Linked DNA regions of Coturnix japonica. The protein of the gene in region 3 interacts with the protein of the main gene of each other region in a pairwise test. Links are inferred from orthologs where the notes say so. Each region holds a gene or a part of one and is shown on either strand. Other genes may lie near its edges.

Region 1 (5,853 bases), about 9.6 Mb from region 3:
GGTATCTCAAAATCTTTCCTATCCTCCTGAAGAGAGGTGCTCACTTCTCCCAGCCACAGAATTTGTTTCCCCTTCCCTCTTTACAGATGCCTTGGTAAAAAAGAAATTAGTTTCCTGACATCTACTGCATTTGTTGTGCTGACATCACAGAGTCAACAAGAACAAGTATTTATACTTCTATTATGCCTTCATTGAACTGAACAAGGTGTTCAACAGGACATTTTAATTATAATCCCACTTCTAGCAGCATGAGTAAAGGTGTTTAAAAAACACAATCAAGCATGAAATGGAACAGTAAACATGCCATTTCAATTACAAAATTATGTATAAGCACATCCTTACACAGCACAACATTTGAAGACTCTGAAATGCTAAAATCCTACCTGAAGCCCTGAGAGGTTTTGTGCACTGTGTCATGCTCAGAGACAGATGTGACTCACCAGAACCTCCAGGAAATCTGTGGCCTTCAGGAAAACATTCAGCCAGCTGTGATAGGGGATATAGTAGAAAGGCCTGAACACCTCACTGTCTAAGGTGAAAGCTTTTCTTTTCTGCACTTGATACCACTGGGCACTCCAGGAGCAGCTAGTAACATGGTGAATACTCTTGCCAAAGCATAACCAAACCATAGCAGCCTGTCCTCTGCAGTTCCCAGGGAGACAAGAGTTTCCCAACACAGCCCCAGAGAGGTGGAAACTGGAACTCACTTTTCTGCCATGCAAATTAGACTTGAACTAATGCTGAGTGCATTAAGCTCCCAAAGACATTTGGAGATCATAACATAAAATCTGGTGCTATCTTGTGATCTAGATTATTATCTTTTCCACAAACAGTTCAGTTCTGTTTAATAGACTATGCAATTGTCCATGGTATTATCTTCCAGAATATCTTACCTGGAAATTACTCTGTTAATCTGACTTGAAAGTAATAACATCCTCAGGAATTTCACAGTCACTGAGATGAATCTGTAAATACAGCAAATAACTAGTTTGTAGGAAAGTATTTAGTAATCTCACAAATAAACATGCAAAAACATTCAACTGACAAGAAACTACACTGGTGTCTGTAAGTATTAAATAATACTGAGAGCATTAAAAGTTTGCTATCCCTCTGAAATGCAATTTCTTACTCTCTCACTAAGCTCTCAGAGTTGAAGGAAAAAAACAGCATATTTTTTCCATTTCTGGAAAAACCCGTCTTTCTCAAAATGCCAGACCACCTCATTAGTGGAAGCCTTGGTTAGCTTATAGATAGCTGGCAGAGGTGTTTTGTTGTGCTTGTTTCCACTTCATTTTTTCCCCCCACCATTATGAGTAAGTAGAAGTAAAAGCACAGTTTTCATTGCCTGTAATGGGAGCAGAATGTGCTTTTATTTCATAGTCATTTTCCATTCTTCTCCTGGCAGTACCTGGAAAATCACGTGAAGAGAGATGCGACTGTGAGGTAACTTGGTGGTGAAGGCTCCAGAAGCCAACACTAAATGCAGATAACATATTTTTGACTAACAGTGCACATTTACAGCCTCTGACCAGAAATTAAAGAGTACTGTTATATGGAGAAGTCATTAACTGATATTTAAAGCTGGGAAATAGAGGAAGTATGAGGAAACCGAAAATGTAAGGCCTATATTTAACATCTCTTAACTTCAAACTGACCAACTAATGGGGCAAAGCCTTGAAGTTCATTTATAGTGGAAGAAATGAACATGAGACCTACGTGATTAATGCATCTTCTCCTTGAATGTAAGGCTTACGTTAGAAGAAAGCCATGCTGCTTTTGCAGTGTTTCAGAACTGCTGAAGCCAGATCATGTCCTCTCCAGATTCTGGATTAACCAAGGTTCAGACTATACAGCAGAACAGGTCCACAAAAACTTCAAGGCTTTTTTACCAACAGATTTAACTTGTGTCATGGTTAGAAACAGAGTTCATAACTAGTTAGGCTTGAATAGTTATCACAGGTAATGATGCATGGGAAGGAAAACATGCAGTGCTGGGAACATAATTTTCAGGGTCAACTTCAGAAAGCCATACAGTTTTATCTATAGAATCAGCAGAGAAGCAAGCATGCAGCCTGGCATATAAAGGTCATATTGAAGCCACTCTTCAGACATCTCCCTAGCTGGGTGTTGCTGAGCCTGGAGCTGAGCTGTGGCTTCTGCAGCCACCGGCAGGAATAGGGTGCTCTGCCTCCAGGCGGGGCCCACACAACTCTGGCAGATGCCAAGGGAGCAGAAGGCATTGACACCAGCACAAGGGTCCTCAAGATCTTCCAAGAACGAAGGCAGAGAGAGTAAAATAGAAGTAGCTGAGAGATGATACAGCTGCTTTGCAGAGTACAGCCACAACAGGAGCTGTAATCAGAGAGAAAACAGCGTGCCTGTCTGAAATGCTATTTCTGCTTTATTGTGTAAATACAGGAACTATGACTTCATGTCTCACACTTCAAGAGACATACTCTCAGGCTTGTTTTCTTCCATATCTGAGCTCTAAGACATGCAAAATGTGTCTCTGTATTTCAGTTCTGGCTGGAGGTTAATCTCTAGAAACAAGTAATGTAACATTTCCATCTATCTTTTCTATTCTTTTGGCGGTTTTAATTACACTAATATACTATGACACTTTAAACAAGACACATCTCAGCTTATGGCCTGCTCTGCAATGGTTCAGCTGCTGTGTGTGCTCCAGCACATTTTGCTCAGACAGGCTGCTGCAGGCTGGGGGTGCAGAATAGTGCCCTTCTGTCATGAGAGATTTCATTGCACTGATCATTGTGTATTTGACAGACTCTTTGTCAATGTCAAGTGTCTTTTGTGGTTAAGCCCAGTAAAGCTAAAACAAAAGGTCTCCTAGATATTAGATATATAGTGACATTACTGAATTCACTCGGAGGCAGTAATTTTTTGTCAGCCTCTGAAAAGAAAAATGGAGCTAATGGGAAAACAAAAGGAAGATGCTGGCATGTCTTTTTAGCTATTTTTGTTTATGTCAGACAGTGTGATTGACATCTGGCCCAGAACACCCTTTCAACCACCGAGGCTGATGTCATGAAACAGAACAAAGAGAAACTGCCAGGCAAGAAAACACTAATGGCTCAGAAAGCACTTTTTTGGGTTTATTTTCTTTTAAGTGTTTCATTTTCAGTAATCAGTATCACTGCACAAAAGTGCACTCATAGGCACCCCCTCTTACTATTTGGACTTCTAAGTTTCCTTTGTGTTTGCTTTCTTCCTTCTTGCCTGAATGGCACCACAGTTCTGGTTTGGTTGGTTGACAGTCTGTCATAACAGTGATGTTTGAGGTTAGTGAAAACTGACATGAAAAATACAATCCACTGGCCTTTAACTGAAATAGCAGCTCTGTTTTTTTGTGGAGTTGGCAGGCAGCATTTTTAAACCCCTTTCACGGTGAAGGCAGTTACAACATGTTTTTCTCTGTATCAAGCAGTTCCATCATGAAGTGCATTATCTACATCTGTTGTCATATCAGGATACTGCCTTTGAAGAGCAGTTTACTGTTTCTTGTGAGATCACTTCTGCTGAAGCACCCTAAGAGGGTTAAGGAAATTTCATGGTCATTCTCCATTGCCAGGCCCATTACAACGCTTTAACATTTATTTAAGAGAGTTTTAGAAGTGTCAGTGACCAGAACAGCTCCTGCAGACACACAACACCACAGAGACTTCTGCATTTGCTCGCCACTTTGTCAAAATAGGAAGAATCCCAGTGTCCCTCTAATATTGTCTAGAGTCATTATATACATTATAAGCATAATGTTCGCATTCTGCAAGTGCTGTAGATTTTGATGTACTTAGTCAGCGTTATGTGCTAGCAGGAGGAAATTATTCTCTAAATTTTTAACTTTGTCTTGAAAGTATGATGCTAAACATAAACCAAATGACTACGAAAAAAAAAAAAAAGCAACAATAAAACATAAAAGAAAGCTTTTGGCAAGACAAGAGCAGGACATTTTATCAGCTATTTAGGTACAGTTACATTCTGAAATCATTGGAGAATTCTTAACAAAAGAGATCTTAATCACTTTAAAAGATTCCAAGGAATTTGGCCTTTGAATGCATCAGGTGTGCTGCAGCTAAATATCCCTGCACCTTTTTAATAGGGTTTACTCCAGTATTTAATGCAGAGCTATATTCTCCTCTAGAAGCACACACTTAACTCCCCCCAGCACTAATAACAGATATGTTCACACATCGAGTGGAGAATTTTCTCTCTGTCTTTGCACAGTGTTCTAAAAAGAACTTTGAAGAAATTGAGAAAAACAGAAAGAGAAGTATATTAATTTTAAGGAGATGAAAGCACCACATGTCATTCCTAAATTTCATGGAAAATGCTCCGTTAGTAACAAAGATGAGCAGAAAATTTCAAAATCATTTTGAGCAGCATTAAAATCAGTCCTCCCTGATTTTCTGTTTTCCCCTTCTTTTCAAAGCACATACATTAAACTCATTTTATGCTTATAATGTATATAATGATTCCAGACAACATGAGAAGGACATTGGGATTCTTCCTATTTCGACGTATAAAGTGGCAAGCCAATTTATGCAGCTTAAACCATTGCTAAGGAAGATGTATCAAAAAATGCCTGTGATCATTACAAATAACAGCCTGAAATGTTCACAAGAAGCTGTTTGCTTATCATATTTTCATTAAAACATCTTTTCACCTGCTTTGCTTTTCCCATGCCTGTAACCTGCATTGTAATCAGTCTTATTAACTGAGAACATAAATATGATTTATTATAGTCTGATAATGGAAGCTGCATGGACCAAGAGAAGGGATATATTGTCCTTTGATAAAATGGCTCTTTTCTCTCAAATAGAGCTCTATCATGAGAGCATGCAGAATGTAGTGAGTGATTATTTCCTGAGGGTGAATGATGGCAGAACCCTACAGAAAATCTTCTTGTTGGCCATGACAGCCTCCGAGTGTCCCCAAATCTCACTGAGTTTGACAACCTGCAGACACTTTTGATGAACTGTATTCTTCTGTCAGAGACAGCCTGTCTGGGAGGAGAAAAGGGAACCTTTATCGTCTGATCTGCTATTATTGTCTTGATCTTTTATAAGCAATCTCTAATGCACATGAATATAATATCCTTTCACACAAGTGCCAAACATAATAGAAATGTAGTTTAAGGACCTTTTTCCCAGTTATGTAAATGTCCTAGTGCCATAATTATAAAAGATGGTTTGTGAATGATAGCTGTAAGGAAAGGATAATGAAAATGTTTTAACATTATCTTTCTGTTTTAAAGACCAAAACCTGTGATAAATAGCATTTATGGTACATATGGGGAACCAGTTTGTGCTGAAGCTTTTACCTAAAAAAGAATAGTTTTGAGCATAAAACTGGTGTTATATTTTCATAAAACACATAAATGGCAGCTGATCTTAAGCCAAGAATGATCACTGGCAGATATGACTTAAAGAAAATGAGTATTCCACTCAAAATCCTTCCATGGCTGTTACAGACAGAACAAAGCGTTATTATTGAGCAGTGTATTTGGACAAAGGGGTGTTCAGGACCAACTAAAGTTCACCAACAAATCTCTCTTTTATCTATGTCCAGAAGAACAGGCATAACAGAATCTTTTTCAATTAACAGCTGTACACATTAGCAAAACACCCGTCTTTCTCAGCTGAAGCGGTCTGGCTTATTTATCACAAAAACAGAAATGTTTGGTGGGAAGCTTTCCAAGTTTCCCAGTAAAGGCAAGATACTTGATTTTCATTAACCTTTTGAAATCTGGAGGTGGGGCGTCCCCCTATTAACTACTAATGGTCTTTTGCATTACCAATTGGTGTTAAGAGAAGTCCCAATTGTCAGAGTCAAAAG
Region 2 (5,148 bases), on a different chromosome or scaffold from region 3:
CTGACTGCTTCATCCACACCTCAAAAAATAACCCCTCTTGATGATGCTTAGAAGGGAATGAATGTGACCTTTCACTGTTTTGGATATCTTGTTTCAAGCAAAAGGTTCCAAAGGTTTTTTCAACATATTTTTTGACTCAACTGTTTAATATTTGCAGGAGGACACTGGAGAGCATCCAGTCAGACAGCGACAGCAGTGACAGCGACAGTGACAGCGACAGTGACAGAGACTAGCTGTCCTCCCTGCCTTCCCATAGGGAAAAGCTGAAGTGCTCTGGTGAGACACGTGCTGCTTTCTGGCTCAAGCAGCATTTCTCTGGGTCATCCTGGGACTTAAACCAGTGCTGAGTTCCTTCCATGCTGACTTCACTTAAATATGAAGTTCAGTCTGCATGTAAATGCTGTAAGTAATCGTTGTCTGTGGTGTTATTTCTCATCCATTTGGTGCTGGGACAGGCTTTGGAATGTAGAGGAAAAGCTGCCACTTGTTTCAGCCTCTGTACAGCTGGATGCTGCATCTAATAAAGGGCTGATGCTAAGGACAGCTGAATTCTGGTAATCTCTGTGCAGACAGTGTTGGTTACGCCCATTCTCTCCTTGCAGAGGAATCTTGGGAGGTTTTTTGAGGTAATTTATTGTGAAGGTCCTTTTCCTGCTCATACTGAAGCATGTCCTACTGTGGGGGAATTAACAGCCAATTCCCTTCATAAGAAATAAGACCTCTCTGGGTGTAATGCTGCAGGACAAGTCCTAACTGCTATGAGGGCAGCTTAAGGATTGGTCAGCAATAAGACTGGGAGACAGCAGCTGCTACAGGTTGAACTGCAGCTTAAAGTGCAGTACAGTAAAAGATTTGTAGTAAAGCTGTTTGAAAGCAGAGTTTGCTCCAGGAATTCAACATGCACTTATTAAGGGGTGGGATTAGTACGAAGATGAAGCCTTGTCTTCCTCAGGTCACAGAGACAGGCCGTTCCTGCATGGCAGCTGTCTTTGCTGCTAAAGAGGAAACTGAGAAGCAGGAGAGTGGTTGAAGTCTTGTTTTATTCAGCTGACAATGTGGCAAATCATTAAGGGCAGGTTACAAACATTTTGGCTGGATCACAAGCCTGCTTGGTAAGACGGGGAAACAAAATTGTTACACAGATTGTGAAGAAGCTTCCTGAAGTTGGTGGTCGTAACGCAAACCCAATACAAATACAACAGGTGGTAACTTAAATACAGTGCAAGGAAACAGGACAGGACCCACGCTTTGATTTAACGCTTCCAGCCCGCCCCCACCAGCTGGTTGGTTTGCAGCCCTTAGGAGCTCACCCTCAGGAGGTTGCTGGGTTTCTCTTCAGCGTGAGCAACTGCTGAACTGCCTCTGAACTAACAGTCCGAGCTCACTGCACTTGAGTTGTTCCCAACCCCACAGCGCTGGCGTATGCTGTCAGGATATCCACTATTTGTTTGGTTTCAAGGGTCATTCGAGCTTCAGTCAGCCAATCGTGTGCGACTCTCCTGGACTCTCCTCTTAACTGGTTGACGAATTTAGCTGCCAGCTCCAGATCTCCGTGTTCAATGCAGTAGGAAGCGTAAGACAGTAATTTAAACGTATCGAGGTCGTCAGGGCTGAGCTCAGCCGGTGGCTTCAGCTGTTGAGGGTGGAACACAAGAAGGGACTGCAGGTAGGACAGGAAGTATTGATACAAGCTGTTTCTCGTTTCGTCAATCATAGCCACTCTTTTTGCCAGTTTTTGGACTGTGTAGAACCGTGCTCTAAGGGCCTCTTCGCTGTACACCCCTCGTGTCAGAGACTCCTGGGGGAGGGCTGCTGTTAAGGCTTCTGTAAAGGCATTGTCAGAACAGCTGGCCTTGATGGCCTTCACTGCGCTCTCCAGCGGCTCAGTGGGGCTGTCACCAGAGGCCGTCTTCATGCAGTACTTGAGTGCTTCCACAGAAAGCCACAGCTGATGGGCCTTTCTGGCCTCCTCTTCTGCTACTGCGTGACCTGCAAAGTCAAGAGGACTCTCAGTTGAGGCACACAGGGAAAGCACTGAACACAAACGTGTTCCAATTCAAGCAACAAAAGCCATCCCTCTGAACACTTCTGAAGTAGCCACCCCCCTGCCATCTGCACAAAGCAAGTCTGTTCCACACCTCAGAGTCCCTGCCAACAGAGCACAGCTATGGCTTTGGCAGAACCAGCTTTGGACTTTGCAGCTGGGACTTATTGAGTACTCGGCCGATGGCAAACCATCAGCCACATGGCTAATCTGGTGTTCAGGCACCAGATCTGGACAAGAACTGTGACTGCTCCTTAAGAAGATGAGATCTCAGTGCTCACTCTCAACTGCTTGCTCAATTCCTTTCAGCCTGGCGTAGGCAGTGTTTATATCCAGCGTGAAGTTGTCGAGCTGCTCCTGATTAAGGCGTCGGAATTGCATTTCTTGCTCGCTGAGTTTCTCTGATAGGTTCTGAAATAGATTTGTACATCATCAGGCCAGCGAGAGCTGTTTCTTCAACTAACCATATTCAACCTCTTAAGATATGTTTGCGTAACCTTTTATTCTTGCTCCAGACAACACACGTAGTAAATATACCACTAATAAGTCCTTTTAAAGTGGTGAAATTAATGGTTAATACATTCCTAACATTCCTAATTATCAAATGTTCACCTATAGCTGAGGATCTTAAGACAACTCAGCATTAAATCTACATGCTGAAGGACTTCACCTCCTCCAGATGAGCAGATTCCCTCCCCAGCCCCCACTGAGTGTTCCAGCAGATGGTTCGCGTTTCCTCCTGCAAAGTGCCTGCTTTGTGAAGCTTCACCACCAGCATTTTGACCAAATTCCCACCCGGCTCCTGGGTGATTCCTTTCTCTCACCTGCTCAAATTCCTCCTTCAGCTCCTGTTCCTGGATCTTAAGGACATCCCGCAGGTGATCGGCGTGGGCAGCTGCCTGCCGCCGGAGCTGCGTCCTCATTTCACTCTCCATCACCTCTCGGACCTCTTCAAGCTGTATGCAATTAAGCAGCACAATTGCACAGCAGTTGTTACCCATCAGGGTATATAGAAGTGTTACTGATTTAAACTCACGCTTTATCTTACAAAGCTGCCAAGGGCTGCTCTTACAGCTCAGCCTTTTCCTAAAGATTACAAGGGGTGGCCATTCTACACCTGAAGAAGTTTCCTTGCTCAAAATCTCCCTTCCGTGCTTAGCATAGGCAGGGGGCCCCAACCTGAAGTCCCCCAGCACTCACAACACCCTGCTGCTCCCTGTGCCCCTCTTCTAGGCGAGTTCCACCACTTTACCTTCTTCTCCTGTTCTATTTCAATCTCACTTTTGTGATGCTCCAGTGCTTTTGCCACAGCTGCCTCGAGTGCCTTTTTATCTTCAAGTTTTTGCTTCTCCAGGGCCAACTCGATGTGCTGCTGCTCCCTGACCCTCTGCTCAGCCAGCTCCTTGTTCAGCTGGTCGATGCGACGATGCGCGTGTGCAATCAGGGAATTCAAGTCGTCTGTTGATAACTGCCCAGCTAAAAAACAACAAGGCGCTATTAGAAAGAGCTGCAGAGAAGCTACCCCACCTCCTACCCCTGGAGAGCTCCAGGGCTCCATACATGGTTGACCTGTGAGCACGTTTTAAGAGACACTGATTGGTGGTAAAGCCCACCCAAATGCTCCTTTCCGAACCAAATCTATAAGAACTTCCCAGCACTTGGGAGAAAAATTACTCCAGTTCATTTGAATCATTCACATCTACAATTCATGCTGTTCAGCAGCTCTCCAGGCCAAATGTTCACAGTCAGATGTTGCTATTTGTTATCTGGTGCAGCAGGTCTGACCCAAAAGCTGAGCAGCACCACCAAGGAGCTCAGAAAAATCAACCTCAGAATCAGAGAGGAAATCAATCATGAAGATTAAATCCAAATTCAGTCCCTCAGTTTGGTGACCCAGCTCAGAGCACCCAGATGTGCTGGTGGTATCAGCAGGAGCCGGCCTCAATCAGGCCCAAAGTTGAAGCAAACCACTGTCAGTTAGAATTAACCACTGTTGATTAGGATGGATTCATTTCTGTTTCCCATTGGGATCTCAGCAGCAGCTGGTGACTGGCTGAAATACACAAAGCAAGTGGAAGCGTGGCTTTCCAATGCAAACCACACTCACCTGGCAAGTGAGAGCTGCTAGACAAAGTCTGGTTTAAGCAGCACATACAGAACTAGCGGCAAGGATCCCAAAGCACAGCCCAGTCTGAAATATTGCAGGGATATTTTTCACTGCTTTGCTGATAGTGCATGTAATTAAAGTGGTGCACCACACAAACATCAAAAAGGACAAAGAGGAAAGAGAGAATATTCACAAGACCAGAAAAAGTTACAGGAACTCACCTAGATCAGTTATGTCTGCAACAGAAAGAGGAGAGGTTGGAGAAGTTAATGCACATTCACTACAGCAGTCAGTCGTGCAATAGTACAATGGACAACTAAAAGCTTCTGGTCTAGAGTGATCCAAGGCTGCAGGAGTTCAAGAACAGACTCCGGAGATCCCTCCTTGTTACAAGCAAGATGTAACCCAAACATCCCCACCACTACAGCTGCCTTTGGAAACCCACAGATGAACCTTTAGGTTCAGTCAAAGCGAGAAATACAAGTAAAGAAGTGCAACAGGACACTGAGAATTTCCAGGTCCTTACAAACGAGCAGTTGGGTAAGAGACAAATTCCCAGGTAGCAGTGAGAGTCACTATCGAGTCAGTCCTGTACACTAAGTAGGGTCACACTGGTGTGAAACTGAACGCCTGGAAGCTGCCGGGATGTTCCCTCTCTCAGAACAGTGCAGTGCTCACAATACTCAGGATGTCCTCCCCTTATCCTGCATTAGAAATGGTAGCTCCATCTCCAGATGCCAAATCCCATTTTCTTCAGAACTAATATCCCAGAAGATTGAACATAAGAGAGACAGCACAGCAAACTGCAGTTTCTCAACCTAGTAAGTTCTCCCAACTTCTTACAGAACAAAAACCCCATGTGTTACACAGGCCTGGTGTTTTCATTTAGCTTTGAAAATGAGTTTGTGGACTAACATTCACATTTCTAGAGCATTAAGTACCATTAAGAAAGAGGATCACAGAGGATGAGCTGACTTGCTTTAGCCATAAGAATTTA
Region 3 (5,148 bases):
CCAACAATGTCCCCCTGCCAGCACCGGCACCCGCTCACTCCTTCCTGCCCACTGGACTCCCTGCATCCCTGGGCTGCTGTGGGACCCGTGCTTGCTCCCTGGCTGAGGCACAACAGGAGCTGCAAGTGCTCCAGAGGCAGCTGGGAGAAAGTGAGCATGCACCCCTGGCGTGGGGTTGGTCCTTCCTGCCCTGCTGTACTGTGCTGCATGGCCCATGGCCCCCCGGACTCAATGTCCTTCTCCCCAAGTCCCAGCACTCTTGCAGGGGGATGATGGGGACACATGGCTCCTCTTGTACACCCTTGAAGAAAGGGAGGGTGGGATGAACACCCCTTGGAAAGGGCTGCTTTGGGTAGTCGTTGGGTAGGAGAGAGACTGAGGCTTCCCAGCTTGTGTCATGCGATCAGCACACACTGGGAGAACCTCTGTTACTTGGGGTGAATGGGAGACAGTGGCTGCACTGATGGGCACAGCAAGAAGCAAGTGGAGACAGGGTTTGTCATCCCAGTTCTTCCTCCCTGCCCTCTCCTTTTCCTCACCGCTTTGCCCTGTGTGTGCAGGTGTGACACTGCCAACAGCAAAACCCACAGCCTCACTGGGTCCCTTTGGGGAGGCCGGAAAGCCAGCAGCATCACTGTGCCAGCATGGCACTCTGCAGAACCTATTCAAGCCCCCCGCCCTCTGGGATGTGCCAGCTGCTGTCCGGCTTTATGGGACACTGCCATCAGGGTGCCCAAGCAGCCAGAAGCTAACAGGTATGAGGAGCGTTGGGAGCTTGGGAGCATCACTGCTGGGGAGACTCAGCCTCAGAAGGTTCAGGGCAGGGGGGGCAGGTGGTGGGCATGGTGTGGGGTGGGCAGTGTGTGTGTCATGGAGACGTGTCCCTGTGTGTGCAGGGGCAGACCTGCTGGAGGAGCACCTGGTGGAGATCCGCAGCCTGCGCCAGCGCCTGGAGGAGTCCATCTGCACCAACGACCGGCTCCGGGAGCAGCTCGAACGCCGCCTGGCCTCCACCGGGAAGCCCAGTGGTACGGCACAGCATGCGGCCATTGGGACTGTGCTCCCTGAGTGCTCACCCCTTGCATATCGTGGTGCTGGGGAAAGGAGCTCAGCACCTGCCCCCCTCTGCAGGTTTGCCCAGTGACATCTATGCTCAAGGGCCGGAGCTGGGGCTGCAGCTGAGCAGGGAGAACCAGGCACTGCGTGAGGACAACCGGACCCTGCGGCTGCAGTGTGACCAGTTCTCTCGAGGTAGGGTTGGGCCACCTGTGTCCTAGAGGGGAATCGCTGAGCAGGGTGACGCTGACGTCTGTGTGTCCCCAGAGCTGGCACGGGTGCAGGAGGCCCTCCTGGCTGCTTGCTCACGGGTGCGGGAGGCAGAGGCTGAGCTGGGCCAGCGGCGTGGGGAGCAGCGGAGGCTGGCAGAGGAGCTCAGCAAGCACCAGGAGAGCATCCGGCAGCTGCGAGACGAGAGGCTCTCTCTGCAGGAGGACAAAAACAGGTGAGGTCTGGGGATGGCAGGGCTGGGCATTGTGGCTGGCTCCGGACCTACATGTCACCTCTGTGCAGGCTGCAGCACACAGTAACGCTCCTGCAGCAGCAGAGTGAGGAGCACCGCCTGCTTCTGCAGGCCCTGCGCACAGAGCTTCGTGTCTATGAGAGCCTTCCCGGCCCCACCACCGAGCCCCGTGCAGGTACCAGCACTGTGCCCAGCTCGGCAGCCCTGCTCCTGACCTTGGGGTGCAGGCAGGGAGGGAGGCCCCCAGCAGCCGCAGCCATCTGCAGGGCTCAGCTGGATCTTGTTCCAGGCTGCTTCCCATCTCCTCCTGTGCGGGATGTTGGCACCAGCTCGGTAGCTCCCTTCTCTTCACCACGCTCTGACACGCTGATGCCCCAGCATACAGTTGGTAGGTAGCTGAGCCCTCCTGCATGAGTGCTCCTCAGACTGAGATACTCACGGTACCCTTGCTGAGCTCAGGGCATTGCTGCAAGCGGAAGCAAGCGCTGCTCCTCACCAGCTCTGCTTTCCCTACAGAGCCGTGTAGGGCCAACCCTCCAGTGAAGAAGAGCAAGGGACTGGCAGGGGCTCATGTTGTCGGGCACCTGGACACCTACCATTCCCTGGAGCAGCACGTCCTGGAAGGAAAGGCACTGGCCCATGAGTTGATATGCCTGACACGCCCAGCACTCGGGCTGTCCAGCACAGGAAAGGAGGTACAGGGCGGGCAGGGTGGGTTGGGGGCCTGCAGCAAGCAGGGCTCTGCCATCTACTCCATCTGCTCCATGGCTGCGGGCATACCAGGCTGCTACCAGGTGCAGGTGCTGCTTTGGGTGATTTAGGGTTGGATCCTTGTAGCACACTCCCCATGGCAGGGGAGGGGGATGGAGATGCTCCAGCAGCACCTGCTCCCGCACCCTTTTCCCACAGGTCCCGGGATGCATAGGCACAGGGCACCTCTGGGGCAGTGCCAGCACCCTGCACCGCATCCTGGAGGAGTGTGCCTCGCTCCTCACCACCTTCTGGAGCACCGTGCTGCCCGTTGGCCCCGCTCAGCACCAGGGCAAGGTGAGCACCATGGGGAGCCATCAGGGTGAGCGGGCTGGGTGCTCGCTGCTCATGGCATACGTCTCATCCCAGGAGCAAGCGTTACAGAGTGAGATCACAGCACTGCGTGCCCAGCTCTCCAAGAGGGAGGATGCTCTGCAGAGCACAGCCAAGCAGCTCCACAGCATGGCCCAGCTCAAGGACAGCATGGAACAGTTCATAGTCAGCCAGTGTATGTGGCACGGCCACACTGGCCTGGTACCCTTGTGCCTGGGGTCACCCTGTGGCACAGGGACCTTGCTGACTCTGTCCCTCTGTCCCTCACAGTGACCAGGACTCACAACGTGCTGCACAAGGCCAGGACAAATCTGGAGGTGAGTCTGCCCTGGACAGGGCTGGATGCCCTTCTCCTGGTGAAAGTTTCTGGGCCTCAACTGGGGCTGGGTACAGATGGCAGGCAACAGAGGGTAGGGTGAGCCCAGCATGCATTGGTGTGGGTCCTGCGGGCTGCCCCCACTCCTTGCATCCCTGTTCCTGGGGCATGGGTCCCTGAGGGCTATGCCCCCATTCTGTGTGTGCTCTCTCACCAGGTGAAGGCCCAGCAAGCCCTGCCTGTTGCGTGAGCCTCAGGCTGAACGATGGGAGCAATGTCCCTGGCCACACGATGGCCCACACTGGAGGGCTGGAACGGACAGGGCTCAGGGGTGCCCAGCGCTGCCCCAGGCGCTGCTGTTAGTGGGTTTGGACTCCTGTGGCAGTTGTGTGCCCTTCACCTGCCTTTGCTTGGCATCGCAGCAGCTGGCTTGGGCTTTGCCTGCCCCATGCTTCACTGCTTGCCCCCTTCCACCCACTGTGCTCAGAGCAGGGTGTCACAGCCCTCCAAGCCGAGCACTTCTTGCCCCGGAACTCAGTCTTGTGTGTAACCTTGCTGCATAACCGCTCCTGCTCATGGATGTATGTATATATATAGAGAGAGAGGTATAGATATTGGAGCTGTGTTTCAGGGTCCTCTCTGGGCATGTCAAGGCCCCAGCATGGGAGGAAAATGTAAGGAATGACACTCTTCAGTCTCTTCAGTGGCCTAAGAATCCCCAATAAAGGTTTCCTTTGGGTCCTGGTGTTTGCAGCACACCTGTCCCTGCGGCTGTGCCCCCTCCTGTAGCCACCTCGGGGTCCTGGTGGCTGTCCCAGGGGGTGCACCGTGGCACAATAATGGTCTCACTGTTCCCAAACACCCCTCCAACACCAGGCCAGCAGCACAGAGAACAATAAATACTGTAATAAATAGAGAAAACCCTGTCACATGGCACTGCTACAGCAGCAGATGATGTAGTTGGGGTCCTGGGGTATCTGCCTTGCTTCGCTCTCCCCAGGCCCGCCAGAAGCACCCGATGGTGGTGATGGGGCAGGCGTTCAGTCCTTGATGTTGGTGTCCTGGCAGCAGGTAAGCATGGCGCATCCAGCTCTGCCCACCCTCCTCCTGGCTCAGCACTGAACGTGGTAGAGGCCAAGAGCTCCCCTTGGAGCTGGGGAGCAGAAGGAGCGGGACAGCCCTGCAGCCAGGGCTGAGGAACAGAGGGACAGTGGCAGGCTGAGGCTCCCCAAGCTTCCAAGGACCAACATGGCCTTGGAGGCTCATTACCAGGGCAGCAAAAGGTCACTTTGCTGCTGGCCTGGCTGTGGACGGTGCCAGGACAGCCTCAGGGCCATCACAGTCTAGAGCAGAGGAGCAGTGAAGCCCTTTCTGTGTCAGGAGCGAGGAAAAGCTGTTCCGTGAGCAGCAAAGCAGCCCCAGAGACTCACTGAAGCCAAAGGGGAGCTGCAGGTGGGCGGAAACCAAGGGTTAAATCAAACCACACCAGTATAATGGGACAGCAGGACGGCCCCAGCAGGCCTGGGCTCAGCACTGGGGGTTGCAGCCCCCCCCAGGTTAGAGGCTGGATCCAGCAGCCAGTCCTCACACAGTCCTGTGGCCCAGCGTGTGCAGACAAAGTGGCATTTCGTGTCCTGCGTGGGGGGTGGGCGAGGCCCCGGCTCAGATAGGTTTGTACAGCAGCGTGGTGACGTACTTCTTCTTGTAGCGGTGTGTGGCACTGAGCACCATCACGCCATCCTGTGAGAGGCAAAGCATCAGCTGCAGTGGGTGGGGAGCTCAGTGCCATAGGGCACCCCCAGGCAGCTGGGAGGAAGAGGCCCCTGCCGCTCTATAGGCCTGGGGGGGGCTGGCCCAGCCACCAAGAACCACCCACCCACCCAAGACAAAGAGCCAAGGAACGGAGCTGGCTTATGACAGGAGAGCACGGGGCTGCCCAGCTCCACCAGGCTGTGAGGAGGCAGCTACAGGGAACTGGGAGCTGTACGGACATCACCACCACCTACACCCCAGCGCATGCCACGTTTAACCAGGCAGCCAAGCAATCCCCAGGTGAGTCCTTGGACCTCTGTGCCACCATCACCACCCCAGGGCCGTCCACATTCTATGAGCTCTGGGAGTCACTCCCCTTCCCCCAGCCCGTGGCCGCTGGGGCCTCCCCTTACCTTGATGGAGAGTGCGTAGAGGTGATTGAGCATGACGTGGTTGGGTTCGGGCAGCAGGGCCGGGT
Region 4 (4,325 bases), on a different chromosome or scaffold from region 3:
GATGAGCATCAGATAACTGCACTGTATTTTATTTAGATGAAAACAGTTCCATCTAGTACCTTATCTTTTGGTATTGTGGGTCAGGATGTTTAGTAGACTTCAGGACTTAGTGTACAGCAACACTTAGCTTTGCAAATACTGATTTTTTTTAATGGTGTTTTTCTAGGTGTGCATCCGTATGAAAAACAAGATCATATTAATGTCAGGTTTGTGGAGGAAGCAGCACTGAAACACACGATGATGCTCTTGGGCCTCAGATATTCCTGAAACGACTTTCTTCAACTGCATGTAAATGATGGTACTCAAAATCATTCACACAGAAGTGTGCAGCCAACTCTGACGTTATTTAGTCTTAAATGTCATGTTGTTTGCTAATTACTCAGCAGTTTTGAGTAGCCACCATTACTGACATCAGCTACTCAAAGTAGCAATTGTCCAGTGCACTAAGACTGAAATTACTGACCTGTAGGTAAACTGTAGAGAAGTACATCTGACGCAGACCTGGGTTCCCAGCACATCTGGGGTTTCAGTTCTGAAGTGGTCAAATCAATGGAACTATTGGGTATTAAAACATGCTGTGAAATATGGTATTACTCTTAACAGTTTTAACGAGACAGACAATGCTGGAAAGGGTAGTCCAGCTGTACAGTAACAAGAAACTGGCCACTGTTTACTCATTTAGACTAATAAAAGCTTTTCTTGATACGATAATGTAAAATAGGTAAGAATAACAAATGACAAGTCGGTCTTTGTATATAATGCACCAATAATGATACTCATTCCTTGCGGTGGCCATATATTGCCTTATGGTACTTCTGCCTTTGGAGTGGGATTCTAATATATTCAGCGATGTAATTAGCACAAAATGTAGTCTCCTTAAATTATATGGGAGAGGGATTTTATGTTATGTTTGTTTTTTTTAAGACATGTATGATATATTGAATGCAATACAGGGCAAGAAGGAAATTCTTCGGAAATGTACCTTCACAGCAGCATGGAATGAGTTTTACTCAATTCTCTCCTTCCCGCTTTTAGTATTACAGTTCAAAACTGCTTCAGGAAGAACGGCTGGAGGTTGTTTTCTCCTCATTTTGACTATTATTTATGAGTAACCAAAGTGGGTTTGGTTTTTTGTGTGCACTTTTTCATATTTTGAAGGTTGGCATAAATTTTTCTCAGTTAAATATTTTTTTTTCAGTCTTGGGCTGTGGAAAGCTGTGATGTTGTATTTGTGTAATGTGTGGAGACTTCATTCATGTGCTATTAATAACCAGAGAAGATCTTCTACCTTATTGTTTTTATTGAAATGTGCGGTAAAATAGATGTAATAAAACTTTACCTGAAAAAACAAAAGAGTAGTCTGATGATTACTCATTTTAAAATACTGCAGTGCATTTGGCATATCAGGCTCCACCAAATCAGAAGGAAGGAACTTGTATCACTGAGTATTTAGCTGCGCTTCTGGAATTATGTACTGCTTTGTTTGCTGTGTAGAATTTGGCTATACTCTAATGTGCATTTCATGTAGGATAAGTGCTGTCAACTTGTGATACTCAGCAGCTGGTAAGGGCTTCTCTTCCTTCATGTGCTGTCTTCTTAGATTTCAATTGGCTTTATAATTGGTTTTCTGAAATGTCTTATATTTGAACCAGGTTCGTTTGGCTTGAAAGGAGCCAAAGCGCCATAGGGCCGTGGCAGTGGCAGGCTGTATGCATCATCTGGGACATAAGCATTTGGCCGCGGTTCAGCTGTTGTGTGGACATGGCCAAGCACTGCAGCTTCTTCCTCTTCTGCAGCCTGCTGTAAAAGAAACACACTATGAGCACATCGTGCCTACTTGTTTTAAGACTGCAGTCAGTACTCTTCTGAGCCAAGGTGGAGGATGCCCAATGTATAAATACTAAATACTATTCACCCAGTTCTTAGCAAATCAAAAAACAAGAAAACACAGGCAGGTGTTTAACTGTTCACTGAGGGAAAGCATAATGTACTGACCACATAGGTATGAGTTTGTCCTTTTAAATACTGTGTAGTTTGAGCCTGTAATACTTTTGTTGTTGAGAAAGAAAATGAGATGAACTTGCAGTAATTACAATAAGTGTGCACAGACCATCTCGGGAACAAGATAATAGATATGATGCTTCAAAGCCCAGTTTGTATTTATGCTGACAGCAGCTATTCTTGAATACTATCACTGTACTAATAATATGATATGAAAAGAGTCAATGACAAGAGGTTTCTTACTGTAAACCAGTTTAACTGCAACAGTTCTTTGTGCCTTCAGGCTCTTGAAACGTATACACTGTGCATTCCTCTCCTAGTTTTGTGTTCATTTCGGATTACTTTGGAGAAGGAATCATATAGCAAGGCCAGTTTCCTACCTGCAGGTTTTCCCTCAATTATACTCATCTCAGTTGTATTTGTCTATCTATCAGTTAACTCAAAGCACTGTCACATAAAGCAAGATCTACCTTTGATTATTAAAGTAATTTGAGTGTAACATATCCTCTACTTAAGGTCTGAGACCTGTTCTATCTGAGCAGTGTGCCAAACTACAGTTTGTAGCTCCAAAAATCCACCATGTGCTGGTTTTGTAGTTGCCTCTGTCTGTCCCATCATCTCCACCAGCTCCTGGAGCCCCGTGGTTGTCAGTGAGCAGCTGTGCATTGTGTGAGATCTGCTGCTCTTTCAGAAGGACAAGTTAGAGCGGTAAAAAAAGGAGGAGCCAAAGCGCAACTCAGAGCAAAAACTTACTCTAGCTCTGGCCTCTGCTGCTTCTTTGTGCATCTTCTCGTTGCGTAAAACCTTCAACCATTCAATCTCTGTCTCTTTAGGAGGAGGAAGGCCTTGTTCTATCCTTGACGAAACAATCATCAAAAACTCTTCTCTGTCTCTCATTTCCTGATGGAGTTTAATGGCAAGGGCCTGCTTCATGGATAACTCTGCGACAAGAGCCATCATCTTCTTGGTCCTGTCTTTTATCTTCTGCTGTAGTTCATTTATCTGGAATCAGAAACCAAGTGCATTTTGCATATTTAGTAACAATTACATCTATAGACACTTAGTGGTGCTCAGGTATGGGAAAGTAAGGTTGGTGAAATCAGCTGTGTTTCAAAAAACAACTCTGTTCTTGAAAATAATGGTTGGAAAATATCATCTTTGTAATGCTATCCTGCCCCTTACAGATGACGAACAAGACTTCCATTTACCACAAAGGAAGGTATTAAGCCTGGATTCTGATTAAGCCTGCGCACAATTACTGCGTTACTAACAAGTGCGTTAAGTCCAGGCCTCACAAAGTAGTTCAGTGATAAAACACGGACACGGCTGTTCTGTGAGGTGCTGAGTTGTTCTTAGCAGGGAGGTGGACAGAAAGGGAACAGGGTGGGAATCTGTGATTATGAGTGGACAGAAGTTAAAAATTAACATTAACAAAAAAAGAAAGTGTAAAAGAGCTCCAATGCTGTTTTTAAGGTAATCGATAGAGAATTGGTAGAGCCTGAGTGTGTAACTTCTGGCACACTGCCCTTTGTGCAGTAAATGGCCAATGGCTGTAATTTCACAAGGGCAAATGGCAGCCGTGTTATTTCTTTCTGTAGAAAAGGAAAGATTTCCTCCTGAAGAGATGTGTTCTGATTTTAAGCCTGAGCGCCAGAGTTAACAACAAAGAAAAGTCAGCCCTGGCCTTGTTGTACATTATTACATCACTGTGTTGTTTGTTTTCTCTCTATCTCTCACTGGGTTTGGAGCTATTTGGAGCTTTTTCATCAGTGTGGTGGAGGTGGGAAGATTTCTTTTTTTGGCTGCTGCTGTGTTTGTTGTGCTATGGCCAATGCTGATGACTTCCTGTCTCTGTCCTTCTCTCTTTTGCTTTCTCAATTTCCTCTCTGTTGTTATACGCTTTCCAAGCAGCCTCAAGTTATTTACTTAAGGATCAGGCCTCCTCTCCTTCCATGTTTTGCAGTTATTACATCTGTCCTTTCTTAAGACTAACATACAATTTGCCTGTCACTGATTCCAGCTGCTAGTTTCGTAATTTGCAAGCAAGTCATCTCAGCTGCAGCCCAGATAGAATCTTGTTTCCTATGGGCCAGTGAGCAGAGCGTGCCCTCCTTACCCGTGTTGCCAGCAGCATTGTGCCCTGCTGCCCGTTCTCTGCTGTGGCGCGGATCCTGTCTGTGAGCCGGACGATGTGTTCGTAGATCATCTCTGTCTCCAGCAGCTTCTCCTCCTTCTGCACCAGCTCCTCCTCCAGCTGCAGTGGGAAGAATATGCACAGCACAGGTAAACGCTGGGGGAAGGTGCAATAATGAGGAGAGATTGAG

What was found.
Region 1: the proteins of myomegalin-like (region 3) and LMO4 interact in binary tests that used the Homo sapiens proteins (3 or more experiments, as listed by UniProt). The two-hybrid records come from large-scale screens. The link is inferred for Coturnix japonica from reciprocal best matches to the Homo sapiens genes PDE4DIP and LMO4.
Region 2: the proteins of myomegalin-like (region 3) and IMMT interact in a two-hybrid assay, tested with the Homo sapiens proteins (2 studies listed by BioGRID and IntAct, with this or other methods). The link is inferred for Coturnix japonica from reciprocal best matches to the Homo sapiens genes PDE4DIP and IMMT.
Region 4: the proteins of myomegalin-like (region 3) and CCDC146 interact in binary tests that used the Homo sapiens proteins (3 or more experiments, as listed by UniProt). The two-hybrid records come from large-scale screens. The link is inferred for Coturnix japonica from reciprocal best matches to the Homo sapiens genes PDE4DIP and CCDC146.

Annotation. Positions count from the first base shown.
Region 1 is NC_029523.1:13,757,110-13,762,962, forward strand, and holds the start of LMO4 (LIM domain transcription factor LMO4), read right to left. Parts: upstream 3,882-5,853; 5' UTR 894-3,881; intron 1-893. UniProt on the Homo sapiens protein: Transcription cofactor. Plays a role in establishing motor neuron identity, in concert with MNX1, acting, at least in part, to disrupt LDB1-LHX3 complexes thereby negatively modulating interneuron genes in motor neurons.
Region 2 is NC_029519.1:77,500,284-77,505,431, forward strand, and holds the end of IMMT (MICOS complex subunit MIC60), read right to left. Parts: intron 4,388-5,148; coding exon 4,373-4,387; intron 3,521-4,372; coding exon 3,297-3,520; intron 3,001-3,296; coding exon 2,869-3,000; intron 2,456-2,868; coding exon 2,326-2,455; intron 1,990-2,325; coding exon 1,382-1,989; 3' UTR 1,022-1,381; downstream 1-1,021. Other genes in the region: PTCD3 (pentatricopeptide repeat domain-containing protein 3, mitochondrial), read left to right, coding at 158-233. UniProt on the Homo sapiens protein: Component of the MICOS complex, a large protein complex of the mitochondrial inner membrane that plays crucial roles in the maintenance of crista junctions, inner membrane architecture, and formation of contact sites to the outer membrane.
Region 3 is NC_029523.1:4,160,827-4,165,974, forward strand, and holds the end of myomegalin-like, read left to right. Parts: coding exon 1-150; intron 151-560; coding exon 561-755; intron 756-896; coding exon 897-1,028; intron 1,029-1,131; coding exon 1,132-1,251; intron 1,252-1,323; coding exon 1,324-1,501; intron 1,502-1,569; coding exon 1,570-1,694; intron 1,695-1,808; coding exon 1,809-1,907; intron 1,908-2,035; coding exon 2,036-2,214; intron 2,215-2,428; coding exon 2,429-2,566; intron 2,567-2,638; coding exon 2,639-2,777; intron 2,778-2,872; coding exon 2,873-2,919; intron 2,920-3,135; coding exon 3,136-3,168; 3' UTR 3,169-3,671; downstream 3,672-5,148. Other genes in the region: PRKAB2 (5'-AMP-activated protein kinase subunit beta-2), read right to left, coding at 4,581-4,658, 5,084-5,148. UniProt on the Homo sapiens protein: Functions as an anchor sequestering components of the cAMP-dependent pathway to Golgi and/or centrosomes.
Region 4 is NC_029516.1:11,440,683-11,445,007, forward strand, and holds the end of CCDC146 (coiled-coil domain-containing protein 146), read right to left. Parts: intron 4,285-4,325; exon of another isoform or gene 4,256-4,284; coding exon 4,118-4,255; intron 3,004-4,117; coding exon 2,755-3,003; intron 1,801-2,754; coding exon 1,597-1,800; 3' UTR 1,283-1,596; downstream 1-1,282. Other genes in the region: GSAP (gamma-secretase-activating protein), read left to right, coding at 167-267. UniProt on the Homo sapiens protein: Essential for sperm flagellum biogenesis and male fertility.